Ovis aries: one gene and its partners. The protein of the gene in region 5 interacts with the protein of the main gene of each other region in a pairwise test. Links are inferred from orthologs where the notes say so. Each region holds a gene or a part of one and is shown on either strand. Other genes may lie near its edges.

Region 1 (2,206 bases), on a different chromosome or scaffold from region 5:
GCGTCTTTTAATAGTTAGACAAAAGAAAAGCAATCGATCCCATTGATCAGTCCTTCAGGGAGGCCTCTGGACAGGTTTAAACAAACACAATTCCTTGGGAATAAGGTCTATTCTCCTCCCTCTTGAGCCAGGAACCCTCAGTTGGAATGCAGGCTGACATCTTCAAGACCACTGTTATACTGGGGAGGAGAATGAGGCAAGAATAAGTTAAAATGCTACCAGATTTTCCTATCACATTTCACTGGGTCTTCTTCTGACTCAACATTCACTTGGTTGCTGTAAACCTCTATTTTCCAGAGTCCCAGTAAACTTGATTCCAATCATTTTCCCCAGCATTTTCAGTGTTTCTGGAGTACCCCACTCCACCAGTTTCACCAGTTCAGTGAGTGACATTTTGAAGTTTACATCATTCTGCTAACATCTTAATTACAGTGGGCATTTTTTCTGAAAGGAGTTACAAATCACAAGAAAGATAAAACTAGAAATTTCTCAAGCGTCAATGACCTTGTGAAAAATCAATAAAATGATTTATTTTATATATGAAAAGTCAAAATCTCTTTGTACACTTAAATTTCTGCAAATACAAACATAACAATACTGCTCCATAAAAACTTTTGTATAAACATTAAAGGAAATATCTACATTACTTTTTCTTTTAGTGCTTCTGAAGCACAGAATGCACAAGTCCACCTGAAGCCTTTCTGGCATCACATGCAAGAACAAATGTCAGGGGTGGAGGTGGCCTCAGGTGTACTTTGTAATGTCTCTAGACAAAATAGAAGACAGCTGGAGGTAGATCATTTGGTGACTCTCCCTGCCCCCTCCCATGGAGAAATAAGTTACCCAAATAGCAGCTTTCTCACTCTTTGATCCAAACTGTCCTGAATATTGCATGGTTTTAAAGGCACAACTAGGAATTGTTGAAAACTTCGTTCAGAACACACACAATTAGCAGTTGGACTCTGAACCCCTCTTCTTTCTAAATGCCATAGTAAGAGCATCAAGTAGTGCTCTACCTGCAGGTGGCCCCTAGTCACTCTGGACATGCCCAGGATGACCAAACTCAAGAGTGAACCCTTATCACTTGTGTGTGTTCACTGAACTTAATCTGCTGGATTAATCATGTCACCTTCCTCAATTGGGAAAAGTAACAATAAAACAACCAGTTAGTACTTTCAAAGAAAACGTAGGGCAAAGCCAGCTTTTACTGCCAGAGAATCAGAAAATGAAAGGTGTCATTGTTTTTTCTTAACCTCTGGAAGCCAGTTCCCTTGATTAAAACATCCTAAGATGTTCAACAATATCCCGCTCTGTCCTACAACACAGAGAACTTGTTCTTTTTTCCTTCTTGGTCTCTGCCGTAACATCATGATCTGCTGTTGATGTGATTAACATTGTTGAGAAGGTGATAGGATTCTATTTTTTCTAGTACCTTCTCAAGGTACTGAATTAAGACTCGTCTTTTGAACCTAAAAAAGAAAGAGGAATTTTATTAACCAAAAAGTCCTTAAAGCACTGTGTGGGGTACCAGGTGGAACCGACGATTTACATGGGAAATAGAGAATGTATCTTCATGTAAAGATGGGGCTTAGCTAATACCAAGAGTACCAACTGAGAGCCCAAGCCCACCTCAGACTGTGAAGAGTCCAGAAAGCTCCCATAGACTTTGGTGAATGAGTTGGACTTGGATAATAGCAATCTAAATGCCTCTGGAGATAGCTGTAACTATGCATGAAGGCCAGGGCTTACAAAAGAAAGGCAGGATCAATCCCTCTGCCTGTCTTACATTGGGTCCTTTTGCTCACAAAAACACACAAGTGACTTCCCCGGTTGTCTAATGGAATCTGCTCTGCAATGCAGGGGACACAGGTTTGATTCCTGGTCCAAGAATTAAGATTCCACATGCCTCGGGGCAACTAAGCCCACACACCCAAACTACTGAGCCTGTGCTCTAGAGCGCAGGAGCTGCAACTACTGAACCCAGATGCTGCAACTATTGAAGCCTGCACACCCTAGAGCCCGTGCTCTGCAATAAGAGAAGCCTCTGAAATAACAAGCCTGTGCGCTGCAACTAGAGAAAGCCTGAGCACAGAAAGAAGACCCAGCGTCACCAAAAATAATTAAATAAATAAAAAAACACAATGAAGAGTTCCTCTTCACACCCACCGTGCAGCTTCCTTGATGGTAAATTCAACAAATTGTTTCT
Region 2 (3,500 bases), on a different chromosome or scaffold from region 5:
TAAGATTTCTTACTGGATTGGATGTGGGGTATAGAAGTAAACAAGGAATCATATATCACTAGACTAAAGCCCAAATGCTTTTGAGCTGAGCTACCAGAAGGATGGAATTGTCAGCAAGAACTGGGCCAGTCTGATATTAAGAAGTCAAGGAAGAGGGAAGGAACCATCAGAGGAGACTGTTAAGGATTAATCTGTGAAACAAGTGAAGAGATCACTTCACTTGACAAATGCTTCACTGTGTCAAGTGCTTCTGACAGGTCAAATAAGACCAGGTGTAAGAATTGATCACTGGATTAAGCAATCGTCAGTCATTGGAGACCCTGATATTAGTGGTTTTTCAGTAGCATAATTGAAAGGGTTAAAAACTAGGGTAATTGAAGAGAAAATGGGAGAAATGAAAATTGGAGATATGATGATAAGCAATTCTAATAAAGCATTTTGCTCTGAAAGGAGAAAAACAGAGTGTTAGCAGGCAAGGGAAGTGGGGTCAAAAGAAGGTTTTTATTAAGTTGAGAATGCTTATATGATACAGGAGTGAAGAAAATATTACTCAGTCACCTTTTCGAGATGCTCAATCAGATAAGGATAAAAAGAGTAAGACTGGATAAAAAAAGGGGCAAGTGTACTTTGTTATTATGCTCTATCATATAGTCAACACTAGTCTATCAATATGTACAAACTGAAATATACTTTAAAAATCCTAGGTGTTTCACAAGTAATTAAAAGACACTGTCTTTCAAAGTGAGCTATTAAGTCTCTGATGTGTGTGTAACAAAAATTTTAACTTGTAAAAGAGAGATTTCAAATGCATAATGACCTTAATGTTAACACAGCAATAAGTATAGCCACATTCTAGAATCATTATCCATATTAAACGATCCTGAAAACGGCCCAAGTAATGAGACCCAGGTAAGAGGAGACCTAAAACAAATTAGAAAAAAAAGTAAGTAATTGTTCAAGCTTGTTTTATTTTGCCATGTGAATCTTTAAAAAAATCAATAAAACACTTGGAACTAATTCATAACTCTTTCTACCCTCTTTTTATGTCAAAAATACAAATGACTATCCATTGCCTATCAGGAGAAATTAAGCTTTTTACAGGAACAGCTGGAAGAAAAAACTATAGGTGATAATTAATAAGAATTTAAGAATATATTTTCCATAAAAACAACAAATGAGAACCTCTTACATAAAATTCTAAATACATGCTAAATATATTAGGAAAACAAATATATTTTGGACATTTTTATACATGCCTATAAAAATGATTTTTGCTGTTAAAAACTTACATAAAATGCTACCTACCAGGCTATAATACAAATACTCTTAAAACTTAGTTTTTCTCTTAACATTAAGTCTCTGAGATATTTTATTGACTACAAAGCTCATTCACTGTAACCGCACTGAGAATTCACTGTATGAATGTAGCTAAATTTAAATATTCATTTTTTGTTAATAAACATTTCATGTTTTCTAATTTTTCCCCATTATAAATAATGCTGTACAAATTACTTTGTACAAATCTGTTTGTATTGCTATCAAATAAAAGGTCTGCTTACAAAGTTGGCCTTGGAAACTTGTATTTCACTACCCTAACTGATAAACAGTCTCTCTTTGGGCCTAAACTGTGCAAAGAATACAGGTTATACTGAATACTTGCTTTCCTTTTGGGAGGCTGGAATTTTGGCATGTGGTAGGCAGAGGAGCCTACACGACCAGCCTTCAATATAAGGTTTAGGCACTGAGTCTCAAATAAGCTTCCCCAGTAGTCAACATATCACACATACTGTCACAACAAGTTGCTGGGAAATTATAACACGTTCTGTGTAACCCTACTGGGAGAGGATCCCTGGAAGCTTTCACCCTGTCTTCTCACCCCACGTGATTTTCCTTTGCTGTATTTGTTTTGCATCCTTTTGCTATATTAAATCTTAGCTATGAGCACAACTGAATGCTGAGTCCTATGTGTCCTAGAAAATCATCAAACCTGGGACCCCCAAAACACATGTGCAAGAGTGTCTCTAGAACTGGAATCACTGGATCATAAAATCTAAAACTGAAATCCTTAGGTCATGAGATATGTACATCATTATTACAGACTATTAAATTTACTCATCAAGGTAGCTGTATGAATTTACATTTTTACATTTTGCCAATCAGATGTGTGTGAAATGTTACCTCACTGTTGTTTGTTTGCTTTTTCTCCAGGAAATACTTAAAACACACTTACTGGATGAATATAATTGATTTGATAATAAATATAAGGTATTTATTATTTTAGATGTGAGTTTAACCTTCAGTTCAGTTAAGTTCAATTCAGTTGCTCAGTTGTGTCCGACTCGGAGACCCCATGAGCTACAGCATGCCAGGCCTCCCTGTCCATCACCAACTCCCAGAGTTCACTCAAACTCACATCCCATCAAGTTGGTGATGCCATTCAGCTATCTCATCCTCTGTTGTCCCCTTCTCCTCCTGCCCCTAATCCCTCGCAGCACCAAAGTCTTTTCCAATGAGTCAACTCTTCGCATGAGGTGGCCAAAGTACTGGAGTTTCAGCTTTAGCATCAGTCCTTCAAAAGAACACCCAGGACTGATCTCCTTTAGAATGGACTGGTTGGATCTCCTTGCAGTCCAAGGGACTCTCAAGAGTCTTCTCTAACACCACAGTTCAAAAGCATCAATTCTTCGGTGCTCAGCTTTCTTCACAGTCCAACTCTTACATCCATACATGACTAATGGAAAAACCATAGGCTTGACTAAACGGACCTTTGTTGGCAAAGTAATGTCTCTGTTTTCAATATGCTATCTAGGTTAGTCACAACCCTCCTTCAAAGGAATAGGCGTCTTTTAATTTCATGGCTGCAATCACTACCTGCTGTGATTTTGGAGCCCAAAAAAATAAAGTCTGACACTGTTTCCACTGTTTCTCCATCGATTTCCCATGAAGTATGGGACCGGATGCCATGATCTTCGTTCTCTGAATGTTGAGCTTTAAGCCAACTTTTTCACTCTCCTCTTTCACTTGCATCAAGAGGCTTTTTAGTGCCTCTTCACTTTCTGCCATAAGGGTGGTATCATCTGCATATCTGAGGTTATTGATATTTCTCCCAGCAATCTTGATTCCAGCTTGTGCTTCTTCCAGTCCAGCATTTCTCATGATGTACTCTGCATAGAAGTTAAATAAGCAGGGTGACAATATACAGCCTTGACGTATTCCTTTTCCTATTTGGAACCAGTCTGTTGTTCCATGTCCAGTTCTAACTGCTGCTTCCTGACCTGCATACAGATTTCTCAAGAGGCAGATCAGGTGGTCTGGTATTCCCATCTCTTTCAGAATTTTCCACAGTTTATTGTGATCCACACAGTCAAAGGCTTTGGCATACTCAATAAAGCACAAATAGATGTTTTTCTGGAACTCTCTTGCTTTTTAGATGATCCAGCGGATGTTGGCAATTTGATCTCTGGTTCCTCTGCCTTTTCTAAAACCAGCTTGAACGTCAG
Region 3 (4,051 bases), on a different chromosome or scaffold from region 5:
AAGTCAGAAACTAACTCAGACTCCTGGAGCATGCCAGCTCAAAGGATGGGGGATATCCTGGAAAATCTCCATGCGACCTGGGGAAATCTACCTACACATTTCTAGTGGTCAACACAAAGATAATCACTTTTACGTATGCATGCAAGGCAAAGCTGGTATAAACGAATTTGTGCTCTTTTTCTTTGCCTAACTATACTAAATCAACAAGCATAGTTTTTTATCACTGCTACTTAAACTAAATACACTCTCAATTCAAACACAAAAAATTTAAAACCAATTCCCCCAAAAACCTTTTCAAACAAAATCTTGTGGCAAGTACAAAGATAGTAATTATCAAATATAATGTACACAAGATGGGGAAAACTGAATTTTGTATTCTAAAAGATTCAAATTTCTGCCAAAATCTGCATAACTAGCTCACCTCCTAACAATGGGCAAGATTATCAGTAGGACTTTTTATAATTACCAACAACTAATATAAATGTAGACAATACTTAGGAACAGCACCTGGAATGTCAGTTCAGTGATGTTGAACACTGCAAAATGTGTAAGACTTTTACACTACATTTCTTTGTCTCCACTTTTTTGAAACCGTAAAATAGAAGGCTGCACATTAGATCAACAGATAAAACAATGCAAATAAGAAGAGTGTCTAAGTGTTTCTAAATTTCGTTCCTTTGAATACGTTCACTTTCCACAAAAATTAATATTTAAGATGCCATTTTCCTAAGTGTTTCCAAGACTTTAAACATTACATTCTCTCACACACCTCCAAAAAGAGAATAGGATTCTCTATATCTAAGACTAGAACCCCATCTATTCCTAACTTTAGGGAATAGGAAAAGGAAATTAAAATGTATCTTGAATACTTTCGTTTTCTTGCAAATAAAATGATCAATAGTTAGGATTACACACTTGCTCTACATTTTATCTCCAAACATAAAATATTTGCTAATGGTCATAAGGAGTAATAGAAAATAAACTCCACAACCAACCCCCCTAGCTCCCTAGTGATCTAAGGGTTAGGATCCCACCCGCTCGATCTCAAACCCCCCTAGAAGTACAGACTACATTCACCTGTGTTAGCATTAGTGTTTTTTAAAAGCTTTTTTAAACTGTTGTTTTAAATGTTGTTTTATGTGACATTGAAACGCCACAAAACTAAGCTGATAACGACCTTTCAAACCCAGCTAGCAAACCGTGCAGCATTTAAAGCATTTTTAAATACCAAAGACATCTTTATTTCCAAATGAATTAAAATTTTACAGATCCCGTGCGACAAAGTAGCTTAACTGCGGACAGCACACGTTCGATTTCTTAGGCAACGAACATTTCTGCAGCCAGTCTTTTCTGACTCAACAAAGCTATTGTTCACGGAAAACAAGTCCAATTAATGAGAAATTGCTAACCATACCATCCAAACACACATTTAGCATAAGCGTTTTCTTTGGACCAACTCTTTGTACCATCTCTTCCCCGTTCATCCCCTAGGGATTCGGGGAACAATCTCTCCTCACTAAATGACAGCTGATTTCGTTAGCACCTGTCGCCAGTCTCACACGAGTTGGCCAAAACAGCCTGGACAGGTTTCTTTTTTTTTTTTTTTTTTTGGAAGATGATGATTCTTCAGAAACTGGGGATTCACCAGGCGTTGAGTTCACTAAGTTTTCCAAAATACCACGCTTCTCGATCCCTCCCGTTCTTCACAAAGTGACCCTGAGGCACCGACTTTTGGGGAGGCGGAGATGGGGGTGGGGGGCCCACAAGGACGCGTGAACTCGACGGAAAGCCCTCCGTAACGAACAAAACCGCGGAGATGGGGGCGGGGGTGGGGGGTAGAACAGCGCGACCCGCCCCTCAAACTTAACGGAGAGCCCCGCCGAGACGACAGAGGCGGCCGGGGACCGCCTGGTCCGAGCGGGGCTCGGGGCCTCAGGGCTCCGGGGCAGCTTTCGGCGGAAATGTCAGCAAGCGCGGACGCCCGAGTCCGGTCTCCGCGCGCCGTCCCGGCCCCCGCGGCCCCGGGCCGAGCCTGCGCGCTCGCGGGGAGGGGGCGTGGGGCCGAGCCCGCCCGCCCGCTCCCCACGCCCCCTCTCCGCCCGCTGTCAGGCCCCGGTGTCACTGCCCCTGACTCGCGCCGAGCTCCCCCGAGACACAGTCCGTCCTTTGTCTCTGAGTGCGCACTCGGCGCTGAGGTCCCATCAACTTGTGTGGGTCCCGTCCCACCCGGGCGCTCCCGCCGCCGTGCCGCTCCACACAAAGGAGACCGGGGGCTCGGGCGGCCGGCCCGCCCCGGGCACCCGAGCGCCCCCAGCCCGGCCCCGGCGCCTCGGGAGGAACGGGCGCGCGAGGGGACCCCCCCCCCCCCGCAAACCCTCCGCTCGGCGCCCGCCCGGGCTCCCGCCTCGGGTTTCTCTGGCTCCCACACAGCCCGCCCGCGGGGGTCGCGCGGATCGGCCCGGGCCCACAGCCCTTTCCGAGGGGGGTGAGGGGAGGTCTCTTCTCACCCCCACGAGCCCCAGAGGCTCCCCGGGAAAGCCCGCTTGTGGGGGTGGGGGGAGGATTACCCGGACCGGCTGAGCGGCAGCGGAGATGTCCCGCCGCCGCCGCCCCACGCCGAGCTCCGGAGCCCCGCCGGCCGGCCGGCCTGCCGGCCCGACAGCGGCGCGTTACCTGCGCCCCGCGCCCCAGCCCGCGCCGCTCCCGCGCGCCGCTCCCGCGCGCCACCGCTGCCGCCGCCGCCGGGGCTCCACCGCCTTCTGCGTCCCAGTGGGTGTCGGACGCTCCCGGACCGAGCGCCAAACCAGGCAGCCCAATCGCCATCGCTTTTATTTGGCCCCCCCTGTCCAACCAAGCGCCGCCCCGATTGGCGGGACGCGAGGCGGGCTCCCGTCCAATCACAGGGCCCGCCGGCCTCTGAGGCGCCGAGCCAGCCCCACGCAGAGGCGCCCGCGGGACTCTGCCGGGCCGGGCCGGCGGCGCGTGCGCGCGGGCGGGCAGGCGCTGAGGGACGCTGCCGCCTGAGTGGAAGCGCCGCGCCGGCTCTTTGTTCTTTTCTCCGAACGCCCGGCGCCTCTCAGGAAGGCGGTGGGGCCGGCGTTCGGGGAAGAAGGGCCTCCGGAGCCCGAATCCCCAAACCGCGGGCGGGAAGGCGGGCTGGGCGGGGTGGCGGGAACCGGCCGGAGGGCGGGACGGCGCGCTCGCGGCGCTTGGCGGGAACCGCCGCTTCGGTGTTCCCGGGCCGGAGGGGCGGGGCGGGGCCGAAAGCCAAGTTTGAACCAGTTCAAAACTCGGGGTGGTAACGGTTTCAACTGCCGCGCTCTTTTTCCCCGCGCGCGCAGCGGAGGCCCTGGCCGGCCGGCCGGCGGGCGGGAAGAGCCGGACACGAGGGCTCGCGGCGCCCGGTCTGCCGGCCAGACGCCCTCTACGGCCCCAGCTCCAGCCCGGCTGGTCTCGGGCGAGGAGCTGCGAGCCTCCCGCCCTCCGGCGTGGCCGATGCGCCGTCCCCCGAGCCGAGCGGAGCGCCCTGCCGGCTACTTTTGTCTGCTGCCGCCCCTCGGCCGCTTGGCCCGACTCGGGTCCCACTGGACTTTGGCTAGTCGATCCCACAGTGCCCATCGCCTTAGAAACCCTGGGAAAGAGAGAAGTCACGATTATTTCAGATTCCTCATTCAGAGCGCCTTGTTCAAACCCTTTCCAGTGTTGCAGTGCCAAGCACGTGTCAGCGTTAAAAATCATTTATCAAGGATGATTGTTCATGTCCCTCGTGCTAACTTCTCTACAAAGTATTAAGATGCCAGCATTTTTCAAGTATTAAAAAAAAAAAAAAAGATCATGGGGTGAGCCTGTCTCCACCCAGAGGAGTTAGTGCTATTCCACTTAGGATACAGTCGCCCTTTTTGATTTATCTGGCAGTGAAGTTAAGGTTATTCCGATTTTTTTTTTTAGTAGGGTGTAACTATAGGGCAAAGTAACCCCCTCACCCACATAAACTGAGATTCCAAATTGAGAGCTCACGTGCGGGGCAGGGAAGACGGTCACCTATGAGCTC
Region 4 (2,248 bases), on a different chromosome or scaffold from region 5:
ACTCTGTGGCTCTGCCCTTATTACCTGCGTCACACATTACCTGTGTGTTTACTTTTTTGTTCGTCTCCGTGAATCTGCCCACACACGTTCCCAGAGCACAAACATCCAGTTATAATGAAAGAGGAGGAACCAGAGGCTCATCTGTAATGACAAGTGCAGGAAGCAGCCTGTGGATCCCCGAGGTCTGAGGTCACAGTGGGCTCATGACACGTCTGGGGAGTCCCCACCAGCTGAGAAGACAGAACGGAAACCACGAGCAAGCATCTCTCACAGCCTTCACGAAGCTTGTCCATGTGGCATCTCACTTGCCAGACGTGGGGCGGGCAGGCTTCACCATCCCCTCGCACGCACAGACCTGGGCTCAGAGGCCTTTCCTGGGAGTGAAGACCCTCCCCCAGGCGGTGTCGGGGGTGGGAACCGGGGTGCATACTCGCCCTCAGTGGGGAGGCCCTGCTACCGGCCCAGGGTGTGCACAAGTTTCAAAGAAGTTACCAAACTAGTTAAAAGACAAATATTTTAATCCAGTTTTCCCATTTTATACTAAAATCATTAATACAGGTCACAAATTGCATTTATTCTAGAAAGCAGTCAGAAGTGTGTCCATCTCTGTATAGATCTTAGTAATAAATTTTATTTGGACAAGAGAACTTGTGCACAACAGTCCAAGAGCATGATTACAGACTGCGGCCCTCCCCGGGGGCACGGTGGTATACAGTATGTGAGACAAGTTGCACCTCAGAGCCGATCATGATCAAGTTAAAAACACCTGACATACAGAATACGTGCTAATAAATTTCCTCCGGGTCATGACCAGCATGAAGAAACCAGGACACGGATGCTCGGCAGACTCTGTGAGTGTGCACAGCAATATGCTGCATTTAAGAGTCACAATCAGCTCCACGTAGTGTTAGCATTGAGCCCTCAGGAGAAATCCAAAAAATATCTCCTCCCCGTTTATGCACGGCTAAACTAGTCATACTTTGGGCTGGACGGGGCGGCGGCCGCAGCCCCCGCAGGGCCCTGCCCGCGTGGACACGGCGAGGCCTGGTGCTGGCGGTCTCGGCCCAGCCCGGATGGCGGTCTCCGCCTTCTGGCTGCACTTCCGTCTCGCGGTGGTGAGATCAACCAGCGGGAAGCAAAGAGGCCTCGGCGTCGCATCCCTTCCGAGGAGAACGCTGGGCGATTCAAGTTTCGTTCAGTCAGGAAGACGGAAGGATTTAAGGCTTCGGTGACAATTATAATCCTCTGAGAAAAGTGTTTTCCCTTCAAGTCAAGACGAGACAACGGCGTTGACTGCACTTTCTCTTGACTCTGAGAATCCCTGGAATCGGTGTAGGCAACTTGCACCTGCAGCCGAGTGTCGCGGGAGGACGGGCCCCAAGGCTGTCCTGGCCACGCGTGGGCGCCAGCGGGACCTCGGCTCCCCGGGCGCGGGAGGCCCCCGGGACCACGCCAACTAGTAGGTGGAGGAGGCTGTGCTCAGGGCGTCTTCAGAGATCCTGGTGCTGGCCGGGTGGGTGCTGGCGAAGTACTTGACGTCACTGTCGCGGTCCATCTGCAGGGCCATGATGGCCTGCTCCACGGCCTCCTGGTGACAGCTGGCGGAGGCCAGGAAGTGCTCTGGCAACAGGAAGTGCAGACAATCAGAGTTAGCTTTGCTGGATGACCGACAGTGATCCATAGAACTCATGTTCTATGGAAAACACCCGAATATAAGAGAATCAAAAATTTACCTTGTTTTTCTAACAGACTAAATCCTGTGAGATCTAATGGCAGCAATGCTAATAAATATATTGAAACTGGTGCTTGTTATAGCCATTACTTGACTTAGGTAGAGGAAAAACTTTTCCAAATACAAACTACCTACACAAAGAGAACCAGAGTCTTCTCCAACCATTCAGTGATGAATTCCAAAGGAGAAACAGGGAGCAACGTACAGGCCCCTGCGTTCTATTTCAAAGTTAGTCTACGCAAAACTCTACCTGTCCCTGCTCACGAATTCACACGTTCAAGGGACATTTATCAGGCATTTGGGTGGGGGCAGTCCAACAGCCTGAGTCTTGAGGGAGGAGCTTATAATCTGCAGCAAAGCAGACAATAAGGGCACGTCCTCCACCTGACGCACATGCGCCTCCCGCCCCAAAGCTGAGATGGAGGTCAGGTGGGTGCCGAAGGCATGGTCCTCACTGGATACCCAACTGGCCACACTACTGACTTCAAAGTATGAAGACAAGGCCATGTGGGACAG
Region 5 (3,500 bases):
ATTACATTTAAGTCAGCAAGAGAAAGTACTACTTTATGATAATAAATATTAATGTGAGAAAAAAGTCTAGCAAAGTGGTTTATTTACATGTTATTGCTGGAAAAAGTCCTTTAAACAAGACAGTGCAGAGAAAACATCTTAGAGCTAAGTATCAGCTTCTCAGATTCCTCACGGCAGCTTTAGTACATCTCATTTTTATGGCTTCTATATAGTCATATGTTCAGGTTTTCAAAGAGCTGCTACTTCATGATGACAGTAACTCTTCAGAGTTTATTTTTATTTCCAAGTTTGTGATTTTTAAGAGGCTACTTTAGGACTGTGAATTGTTTCACTGTCTTTTCACTTTCTCGCTTTAGTTCTTCGATGTGGGCATCTAGGCGCTCTAGAATGTGATGAGACCTCAGCTCTTCCTCTTCCAAAAATCTTGTGGCTATTGAACCAAGAGGAGACAGAGGCAAGGGACACTAGAAGAGAAACAAATTTTGACATATGTAAGTTGAACAGTATATTTCTAAGACACAGTATTCATGATATTTTCTAACTACCAATATCAAAAGGGGAATGTTTTCCTCTGACAAGATATTGTCTTTATCCTAATGATAATAATAGTTTTTTTTTTAAAAGTTCCACAAAAATTAACACAGATATCTTCCTTTCTGACACAGTTATGTAAGTGTGAAGTGTCATATAAATATATTAGTTACTCATTTAAAGACTTTCAGAGCCTTCTATACACTAGAAGAGATATACTTAATGCCTATTTATTTCAAACTCACTTATGAAAATCTGAATGTTACTTTTTAAAGCATAGAAAATCTACCGGTAATAAATTAGATACCAGCTAAAAATCAATATTTTCCTTCCTCCAAAATTTGAGTCTACAGCCCCTTGTCTGAGATCACTGGCTTCAGAATTTAGATGCACCATATTCCATTGATCCTTATCTGTAGTAGTTATCTTCTATAACGTCATCTCAAACACTGAATTAATCAATATTGAAACACTGCTCTTATGGGAAACACAAACACATACATACAAACTTCACATAGATTATAATCCCAACTCCTAAAAATAACTCACCAGGTAGATTCTGTTTGCTTTATTTCACAAAAAAACAAGGTTCACAGTGTTTAGTGACTTTCCTGAGGCCACCCCATTAATGGGTGCCAAAGTTGGGGTTCAAACCCTGTTCAAGCCCAGCATCTGAGCTTCGTGCACTGTACTGTCCCTGAGTGACTCTATCTTCTGGGCCTCTCAGCACAAGAGCTGAAACAAGAGGGTAACGTACCACCTTGGCTGACCTTAGCTATAAACGTGCAAGTCCAGTGATACATTTTGTCCAGCTCTGCCATGTTCAAGAATAACTGTGGAAGTGCTTATGAGTTCTGTTTACAGGTAACTAATAGTTTAGCAAGTAGATGAATTCACAAATATAGAATACAGGACCTATGCATGAGTCTGAGGTAACATCCCATCATCAAACACATTGGTATTTCTGACATAAAATGTTCAGTGGGATCAATCAACATTTTATCACATCATATCGGTTCAGGCCAGGTCAGGTCTTAGTGCCAAACTTAAAAAGAAAGTTAGTCATCAGGTCTTTTTTGGATTTCAGAATTACATATATAGCACATTTATTTCAACAACTAAAAGAGAACTCCTATGGACTTGTTGGCACATTAAAAAGTCAAAAATACTGAACTTTCACAGATACAGGACCATTAGGGTGATGAGAATGAATGGCCAGACATGAGTGCTTCACAGAAGGCAAAAACAAGGGTGGAGAGGGGTCCTCACATCTGCAGGAACAAGGGGCCAGCCCTGTCGCAGGGCAGCGTCTGCCACCAGGGCCCCGTGGGGCGGCCCAGTCTATGGTCTATAACAGACACATCAGCTGCCATTACTTCCTCTGCCTCGACCCACTCTTTCCCTTTCCAGCCATTCCTTTTCTCCTTCACCAGTGTCTACGCCCCAGGACTATCTTGGCAGGCAGAGATATTCTTTGAACCAATCATTTCCAATACAAAGGTGACCCTCTCTGAAAAAAGGCAGGAAGGGAATTCTCAATTTTGGCTAAAAACAAATGAGTCCCTATAACTTATATTTAATAAGACACATTTTGAAAAGTACTTGTGGCTGAAGTCTTCACAAGCAAATTCTTAGGACAGAAATACATGAGAATAACAAAGGGTACTTAAGAGAAAGAACCAGTAAGGAGACAAAAAGGAAAAAAAAAAAAATCCTCCGCCTTAAAATTAAAAAAAAATCAAACTAAACACACTTAATAAACTAGTAAGATCAGAAAGTTTCCATACCGAAGATGTAAAGTCTTCTGGGTCATTTATACTCTCAGAGATAGTGTCAGAAAAGTTGGCTTCATTTGTATCTAGCACTGAAGGCAGAGAGTTAGTTTTGCACAGAAAGTTAGATGGCAGGGAGACAGTGGAGCAGCAAGAGCTGATCTGATGGCTTGGGGGGCTGAAGCCCCGGGACAGGGACACAGGCTCTATGCTATCCGACGCTTGTCCTTGCGGAGAATGAAGACCTGCTTTGTAGGGCTCAGCCTTCATCCCATCATGCCTGTGCTGGCCATGGGCTGAACTGGATAGCAGATTAGAAAATAAAGCAGATAAACATTGTAGCAATTTTCCTCCTTTAAAGAAACAGACTTATTGTTGGAAGTTCAATAAAAATACAGAACCAGACTAAGGAGAAGGCTATAATTTACAAAATTTCAGAAGCCCGTTCAGACCAGGCATTCTCTTCATCACCCTGGCCCCAAATACCCAATCCCCATGACCACGTCCCTGTCCCCACAGACTTACACAACAGCAAGGAAGACACTTAAGCTATCTAAGTGCCCTAGTGGGGTTGGTGGTAGGAGACAGGGAAGTACTGTGCAGAGAGAAGTCCCTTATCTTCATCTGGGGGTGAGGTGGGAGTGGCAGAGAGGGTGTCAGCAAAGGTTCCTGGTAGGAAAACATGTAAGAGCTGAAGTCGGGTGGTTCTGCATTGAACGCTGATGTTTTAGGTAACAATCTATTATTAGTTCACCAAAAATACAAAAGAAGCTTTTTATAAAAAGCTAACTTCCACTTCTTATGGGACAAGTGAAGCTAGAAAGGTGGGAAGCAGCATGACAAAACTCAGGAATTAGGCTGTTATTCTCACCTACATCTAGAAGTTTACTTGAAAGTAATATATAACCCCCTGCACTTTTTAACCTAACAGCTTTACTTGTACATACTGTACTTCAGAATTAAACATACGGTCCTTTGATAAGGATTTAATTTCTATAAATTGGAAATTATTCTCAAAGAAATGAGCATTACATAATAAAGATACATATTTTAAATAAACTATGAAGAAAATTTACTTGAACTCTGTATTCTTGAACTCAGGTACTCTGCTGTGTGTTGGTTTAAAGATCCTGTCCCGGTTTTTTTTGCATATCTGAGTAGAAATCTCCAGCTGACCTTTGGTATCCATCAAATCTT
Region 6 (2,935 bases), on a different chromosome or scaffold from region 5:
TGGTTCCTGCTGGAGACCAGCAGCGCCTCGCTGGCCTGGGGAGCCGGGGAGGGCCCGGGGGAGAGGGAAGGAGGAACCATGGCTTTCTACCTCACTCCGGTGCAACTCAAGAATGAAGTGCTCGCGTAGGCGCCAGTGGTAAGCTCTTTTTACTTTTCTTCTTCTTTAATTTTTAAAAACACTTCAATAATGTCCTGACCAGCAGCAGTACAAACACTAAAAGCAAGGGTTGTTTTTTTTTTTTTTTGCCCAGAAAAACAAAACAAAAAACCCCCAAACAAGAAAACAAACAACAAAAAATCCCCCCAAACCACATATTAAAAATGGCAGGCTTTTTATAACAATAATTAAAGTAATAAAAACATACAAAACTTTGTTTTTTAATATATATACACAGTACAAGGCTGAAGCACCTTTGACTTTTCTCTCAAAATTGACATTTGTATGAAAACACCCCCGCCCCCCCTGCAGTAACAATCGGGTGGGTGTGGATAAATGTACATAGAGCTCTGGACATTTTCCCCCACGAAGGAATAACAAGGTACCTTCAGTCTGTCGATTCACTTTAGGTAAGAGCTTTTCTGGGGAAAAGCCTTTGGGTGAGGCTTCAGTACTGTTGCTTTGTGTGCTCCTAGGACCTGTTGCTTTCAGGAAAACTTTGCAGAAAAATAACTGAAACAAATAAGCCCTTTACTTAGAATGCACCCCACCTTCCTTCTGCTGGAGCGGGTCTCCATCCTGGGGAGGAGCGAGACCGGCCACCCCACGGCCAGAGCAGCCCGGGTTCCTGAGGCCACAGGGCCTGGCAGCACACGACACGCACACCGGTGGCCCGCTCCGCCTCATGCACCCAGGGGCTGGGAGATGGGCACAGCTTAGTGTTGGTAATGGAGCCTTCATCTTGAGACTAAAGCATGACGACGTGGGGAAGGGAAAAACCGCCTTTAAAAGGGAAGAAACTATGGGCGTCTTAAACGGGTTGCTTGCTGAGTTACAAAGGTGATCCAACTGCACTGAAGTCAAGGCGAGTTCGTTCTTTTTTTCTGGAGCCTGGAATCCTTTGCTTCATGCATGGCACATTCTCTCTTTTTTTTTTTTTTTTTTTTAAGCGTCAAACCTCCCAGTGAAAAATATTAAATATTCAAGGTAATAAAATAGATAATATTTCTATACTATAGGTTCGGCCTAGTGCAAGGGAAACCGTCACCTCGGGAAACCCTTGAAGTAGCCTCTAGGCCAATGCATTGCAGGCAACGCAAGGCACTTCCGTAAGTGGTCCAGTTCCGCCTGGAGCCGCTCCCGTTCTGAAACGATCTTCTGCTTCTGGCTCCTCAGCTCCTGGAGGGAGACTGGTGTCAGACCCGCAGTTCACACAGTTAGGAAGGCTGTGGGATGCGCTCTAGCTGCCCCCAGCATCTCCCAGTGGCAGCACCTGCCACTCTCGCAGCGTCGGCCCTGGCACTGCCAAGCTTCTGCTGCGTCGGGAGTGGCCAAGGTGTCCAAGCCCCAAACACACAACAGCGGAAGATGGCAGGGCTCTCGCTGTCACGGCTGTGTGTGTGTGTGGGGTCCGTCCTGTCCCAAGAGCTCGGCCCCCTCCCTCCATCCTCCTGAGCGCGGCACGGGGGAAGGCTGATACGGGCAGTACACCCGCCCCCGACCCTTCCAGACCCATGTTCTGCGAACAGATGACACTCCCTCCTCAGGTGACTGCTGAATTTAGCCCCTCTCAAGAGCACAACTTCCCTTCAAAACTTGTCTGTATGGGTGCTCCTGAACCCAGACTCGAAAGGCTGAATGAGAATAACCACTGTGGGGTCAAGAAAGCCCCCACGGAGCCAGTACGATCCCTGAGACTCACCGCCATGCTGTGGGAGAGCTGCTCGGCCGTGAGGCTGAGACTGTAATGCTGCGCCTCCAGCCGCCTGCACTGCGCCTGCAGCACCTGCCGCTCCAGATCTTGCTCTGAAAAGACAAGCCAGGGTGACGTCTTCTGTACCCAGGGCCCCAGGCCCGGCGCGTGGCCTCTTCTCTCCAGAGCAGCTGGTCAAAGCTCTATCATTTGGACCACATGGCTCCCTCCCTATAGATCGTGCTGGTGACTAGATGTTACTAAAGTAACCCGACCCAGGGGAATAAAGACCGAGGACACAGCATTGAAAGGCAATTTAAGGGACGCAGCTTAGGAAACAGCAACAACTTACAGCCTTAAGATGCATTTTTCAAGAAAGATAAAAGGCTTAGACACAAAAACTGTTAGAAATTTATCATTTTAACAAGTAAAACCTCTGCCTTTCCGAAAGATACTGAGCTTCACATCTTCAGGAATAAATCTGTTTTAACAGTCTCTTCAATAAGTGGTGCTGAGGAAACTAGACAACTGTATATAAAAGAATGAAACAGAGCACTAACGCCACACACAAAGGCACATTCAAAATGGATAAAGACCTAAATGTAAGGCTGGTTATTATAAAAAGCCCTTAGAGAAAAACAGAGGCAGAAGAATCTTTGACATAAATTGCAACAAGCTCTTTTTTGATCCACCTCCTAAAATACTGAAAACAAAAACAAACGGTGGGACCGAATTAAAGGCTTTTGCATGGCAAAGGAAACCATAAAACAAGAAGACAACCCATAGTATAGGAGAAAGTATTTATAAAAGATGCAACCAATAAGGAATTTAATCTCCAAGATATACAAACAGCTCATGTAGCTCAATATTTTTAAAAACCAACCTAATCAAAAAATGGGTGCAGATCCCCCCCGCTTATTTTTCTTAATCTTGGGTTCCCTGACTAGGGATTGAACCCACACTTTCCTCACTGGAAAGTGGATTCTTAACCACTGGACCACCACTTCACCATCTGGGTGAACATCTAGATAGATATTTTTCCAAAGAAGACATACAGATGGCTGAAGAGATGCTCAACATCAC
Region 7 (3,181 bases), on a different chromosome or scaffold from region 5:
GACTGGGGGCCAGGAGGTTTCCCAGAACCAGTTGTGTAGACCATTTGACCTTGGGATACTTTATGAGACTGTGCTGAATTTGGGTGTAGATTTAAATATAGTTAAGGAAGTTTTGGCAGGCCAATCAGTTGAGATGGTACTTTATTTGTAGTCTGGAGTATTGGGAGGGAACCAACTTTCGTTCTGCTTTTTAAAGAAATTTAAGTTAGAGCAAAATACTAAGAATAATGTAACAAATATGCTACTATCTGCATTCAACGTATGTAATAATTTTGCCTTATTTACTTCTATCACGTTGGCCAAAAAGTTTGTTCGAACGAACTTTTCGGCCAATCCAAGAGTCTTTTCTCTTTCTTTCCAAGGCAAAAAATGTTGAAAGATATAGCTTAGATCTTTAATCACCACCCCAAGCCCCATTACCCTTTTCCTCACTCTGGAGAGTATTCATGATCATGTTTTTGGTTTATATCTTTTTATTCCATCTTGTACCCAGGGCACCTCATGATGAAAAGCAAGATATATTTTCTTTTCATATGTCTGTTAATTGTTAACAGATGGCAGTACTTTCGAAATAGACTATTGGTATGATGACCGTCCACTACCTTATCTTTATAAAAGTAAAGTTGACAGAAACTTTGCCAAGGAAAGAATGGGGGAAATACTCTATTCGAATAATAAGTAAACTTAATATGCAGTGAGTATCCTGAGGCTTTTACACCTGGAGGTTGATTCCTGTACTTTTGGAGGCTATGCTCCCATTAGAGAAGGTGATCCACTAACTGAAGGATGCCCACTTTCTGGAGGAGCATTTCTTTGTTTGAAATTAGAAGGAACACTTAACATGTTCTTGACCTAGAATTGTACTTTGAAGTTTATCAATTTCATTAAATTAGTATCTCAGCTTCTTTTTAAAAGTTTTCAATAATTGTAATAACTCCTTAATCTGTGTTTACCAAATAAATTAGGACTTTTAATGAAATCTTTGAGGTTAATTGCATTATAATTAAACTTTCAAAAATGGATTTAGTCTTAAAATGATTCTACTTGGTTTATTTTTAGTAAAAGAAGTAAAAACATTTCTGGTATGCTTTAATAATATTGTTTACATGAGTCTTTGATCTTTCTAAAAAGATATTAAGTACATTAACCAGAGGAAATTAAGACTTTAAGTTTTAGGACATTGATTAGGAAGAAATGATCAAATGTTGTACACATTTGGGGTATAAATTTTGAGTGGTTGATTCAGTTTTTGTCACAATTAGAGATATTCTGATTTATTATATAATTTGTTGTTTAGAATGTAGAGCTACCTCTGGGTGTTTTTGATTCCATGCAGTGTATAACTGCATTTTTATTCCTATGATGTAGCTTTTTCCCCCACCCCAAGAAACTGAAGGTGATTTAAAAATGAAAAACTGAAGGTTCAGAAAAATATTGAAAATACCTCTAACCCTTACACCTTACCCATATAGTATTGATTAGGCTCAGAACTAACTGTAGTCACCTAAAGAGACATGTTTGGAATTCATCATAATTCATTTATTGTTTGTGGGTAAAGGTAAGACTTTCATTCCCCACACCTCATTTCTTAACTAGAAAAAGAATGGACTATTCCATCTAGGCAAGTTCTGCTTTGCATAGAAGTCATTCAGAATTGAGCATCGTTATCTATGAAGGAAATATTTTAGAATTGATAGAGTTTACTATGTGTTCTGTTTTCTATAGGTAATGTGGACTGAACTACCATGTAAAAATTTTCATCTTCTTCTCTGTTGTGCTATTCTGGAGTCAGAAAAACAACAAATAATGGAAAAACATTATGGCTTTAATGAAATACTTAAGGTAGTTATTCTTCTAATTTAGATTTTAATATTTTGACTCTTTCCTCTTTTTGTTGGAAAACAAACATTTCCTTGGAGTGTTATTGAATCTCTTGAGTGACTTAAAATTTTATCAGTGGTAGTCAATACTAGGCCCAGTTTTCTGAGAAGGACAGTTCAGCAGGTTGAACATGTTGGCCAATTATTTTTTTCCTTGCTAATTAGAAAGAGAAACATGCGACAAATGCTCTTTTATGTTGTTTACTTTTCTAAACAAAGTAATACTTTTGCTTATAACTTTGAGATAGTAGACTTGGGACAGCTGCTGGATTTATGTTCCATAAGCTTATTATTAATAGCTGTTCCTTAGCTTTACAACTTTGAAATGCTCTAATGAGGGATATATTAAATTTCCCATTTACTTGTAGTCTGAGGGTATTTTGTTTTGAGGATTTTGTCTACAGTGTAATATAACTAGTATGACACCACCCTTATGGAAGAAAGCTAAGAACTAAAGAGCCTCTTGATGAAAGTAAAAGAGGAGAGTGAAAAAGTTGGCTAAAATTCAGCATTCAGAAAATTAAGATCATGGCATCTGGTCCTATCACTTCATAGCAAATAGATGGGGAAACAGTGGCTGACTTTGTTTTTGGGGGCTCGAAAATCACTGCAAATGGTGACTGCAGCCATGAAATTAAAAGACGCTTGCTCCTTGGAAGAAAAGTTATGACCAACCTAGACAGCTTATTAAAAAGCAGAGACATTACTTTGCTAACAAAGGTCCATCTAGTCAAAGCTATGGTTTTTCCAGTGGTCATGTATGGATGTGAGAGTTGGACTATAAAGAAAGCTGAGCACCGAAAAATTGATGCTTTTGAACTGTGTGGTATTGGAGAAGACTCTTGAGAGTCCCTTGGACAGCAAGGAGATCCAACCAGTACATTCTAAAAGAGATCAGTCCTGAATATTCATTGGAAGGATTGATGTTGAAGTTGAAACTCCAATACTTTGGCCACCTGATTTGAAGTACTGACTCGTTAGAAAAGACCCTGATGCTGGGAAGGATTGAAGGCGGGAGGAGAAGGGGACGACAGAGGATGAGATGGTTGGATGGCATCACCGACTCAATGGAAATGAGTTTGAGTAAACTCCAGGAGGAGTTGGTGATAGACAGGGAGGCCTGGCATGCTGTAGTCCATGGGGTCACAAAGAGTCGGACATGACTGAGCGACTGAACTGAACTGACTGAATATAACTAGTAATAAATTGTGTAATAGAGTATAATAGTGTTTCAGTTTCAATTATTTTATTGATTTATTCTAGCATATCAATGAATTGTCCATGAAAATTGATGTGGAAGA

The links.
Region 1: the proteins of CEP63 (region 5) and INTS6L interact in a two-hybrid assay, tested with the Homo sapiens proteins (2 studies listed by BioGRID and IntAct). The link is inferred for Ovis aries from reciprocal best matches to the Homo sapiens genes CEP63 and INTS6L.
Region 2: the proteins of CEP63 (region 5) and PCNX4 interact in a two-hybrid assay, tested with the Homo sapiens proteins (2 studies listed by BioGRID and IntAct). The link is inferred for Ovis aries from reciprocal best matches to the Homo sapiens genes CEP63 and PCNX4.
Region 3: the proteins of CEP63 (region 5) and EZH2 interact in binary tests that used the Homo sapiens proteins (3 or more experiments, as listed by UniProt). The two-hybrid records come from large-scale screens. The link is inferred for Ovis aries from reciprocal best matches to the Homo sapiens genes CEP63 and EZH2.
Region 4: the proteins of CEP63 (region 5) and PPP4R1 interact in a two-hybrid assay, tested with the Homo sapiens proteins (2 studies listed by BioGRID and IntAct). The link is inferred for Ovis aries from reciprocal best matches to the Homo sapiens genes CEP63 and PPP4R1.
Region 6: the proteins of CEP63 (region 5) and GSE1 interact in a two-hybrid assay, tested with the Homo sapiens proteins (2 studies listed by BioGRID and IntAct). The link is inferred for Ovis aries from reciprocal best matches to the Homo sapiens genes CEP63 and GSE1.
Region 7: the proteins of CEP63 (region 5) and TBC1D15 interact in binary tests that used the Homo sapiens proteins (3 or more experiments, as listed by UniProt). The two-hybrid records come from large-scale screens. The link is inferred for Ovis aries from reciprocal best matches to the Homo sapiens genes CEP63 and TBC1D15.

The regions. Positions count from the first base shown.
Region 1 is NC_056080.1:99,350,249-99,352,454, forward strand, and holds the end of INTS6L (integrator complex subunit 6-like), read right to left. Parts: coding exon 2,167-2,206; intron 1,470-2,166; coding exon 1,367-1,469; 3' UTR 501-1,366; downstream 1-500.
Region 2 is NC_056060.1:70,384,149-70,387,648, reverse strand, and holds part of PCNX4 (pecanex-like protein 4), read right to left. Parts: intron 922-3,500; coding exon 818-921; intron 1-817.
Region 3 is NC_056057.1:113,214,573-113,218,623, forward strand, and holds the start of EZH2 (histone-lysine N-methyltransferase EZH2), read right to left. Parts: upstream 2,801-4,051; 5' UTR 2,674-2,800; intron 2,584-2,673; exon of another isoform or gene 2,568-2,583; intron 1-2,567. UniProt on the Homo sapiens protein: Polycomb group (PcG) protein. Catalytic subunit of the PRC2/EED-EZH2 complex, which methylates 'Lys-9' (H3K9me) and 'Lys-27' (H3K27me) of histone H3, leading to transcriptional repression of the affected target gene.
Region 4 is NC_056076.1:42,175,729-42,177,976, forward strand, and holds the end of PPP4R1 (serine/threonine-protein phosphatase 4 regulatory subunit 1), read right to left. Parts: intron 1,621-2,248; coding exon 1,457-1,620; 3' UTR 501-1,456; downstream 1-500. UniProt on the Homo sapiens protein: Regulatory subunit of serine/threonine-protein phosphatase 4. May play a role in regulation of cell division in renal glomeruli. The PPP4C-PPP4R1 PP4 complex may play a role in dephosphorylation and regulation of HDAC3.
Region 5 is NC_056054.1:255,417,167-255,420,666, forward strand, and holds part of CEP63 (centrosomal protein of 63 kDa), read right to left. Parts: coding exon 3,380-3,500; intron 2,605-3,379; coding exon 2,319-2,604; intron 465-2,318; coding exon 306-464; 3' UTR 1-305. UniProt on the Homo sapiens protein: Required for normal spindle assembly.
Region 6 is NC_056067.1:11,187,734-11,190,668, reverse strand, and holds part of GSE1 (genetic suppressor element 1), read right to left. Parts: intron 1,966-2,935; coding exon 1,862-1,965; intron 1,339-1,861; coding exon 1,204-1,338; 3' UTR 1-1,203.
Region 7 is NC_056056.1:107,983,474-107,986,654, forward strand, and holds part of TBC1D15 (TBC1 domain family member 15), read left to right. Parts: intron 1-1,725; coding exon 1,726-1,842; intron 1,843-3,143; coding exon 3,144-3,181. UniProt on the Homo sapiens protein: Acts as a GTPase activating protein for RAB7A. Does not act on RAB4, RAB5 or RAB6.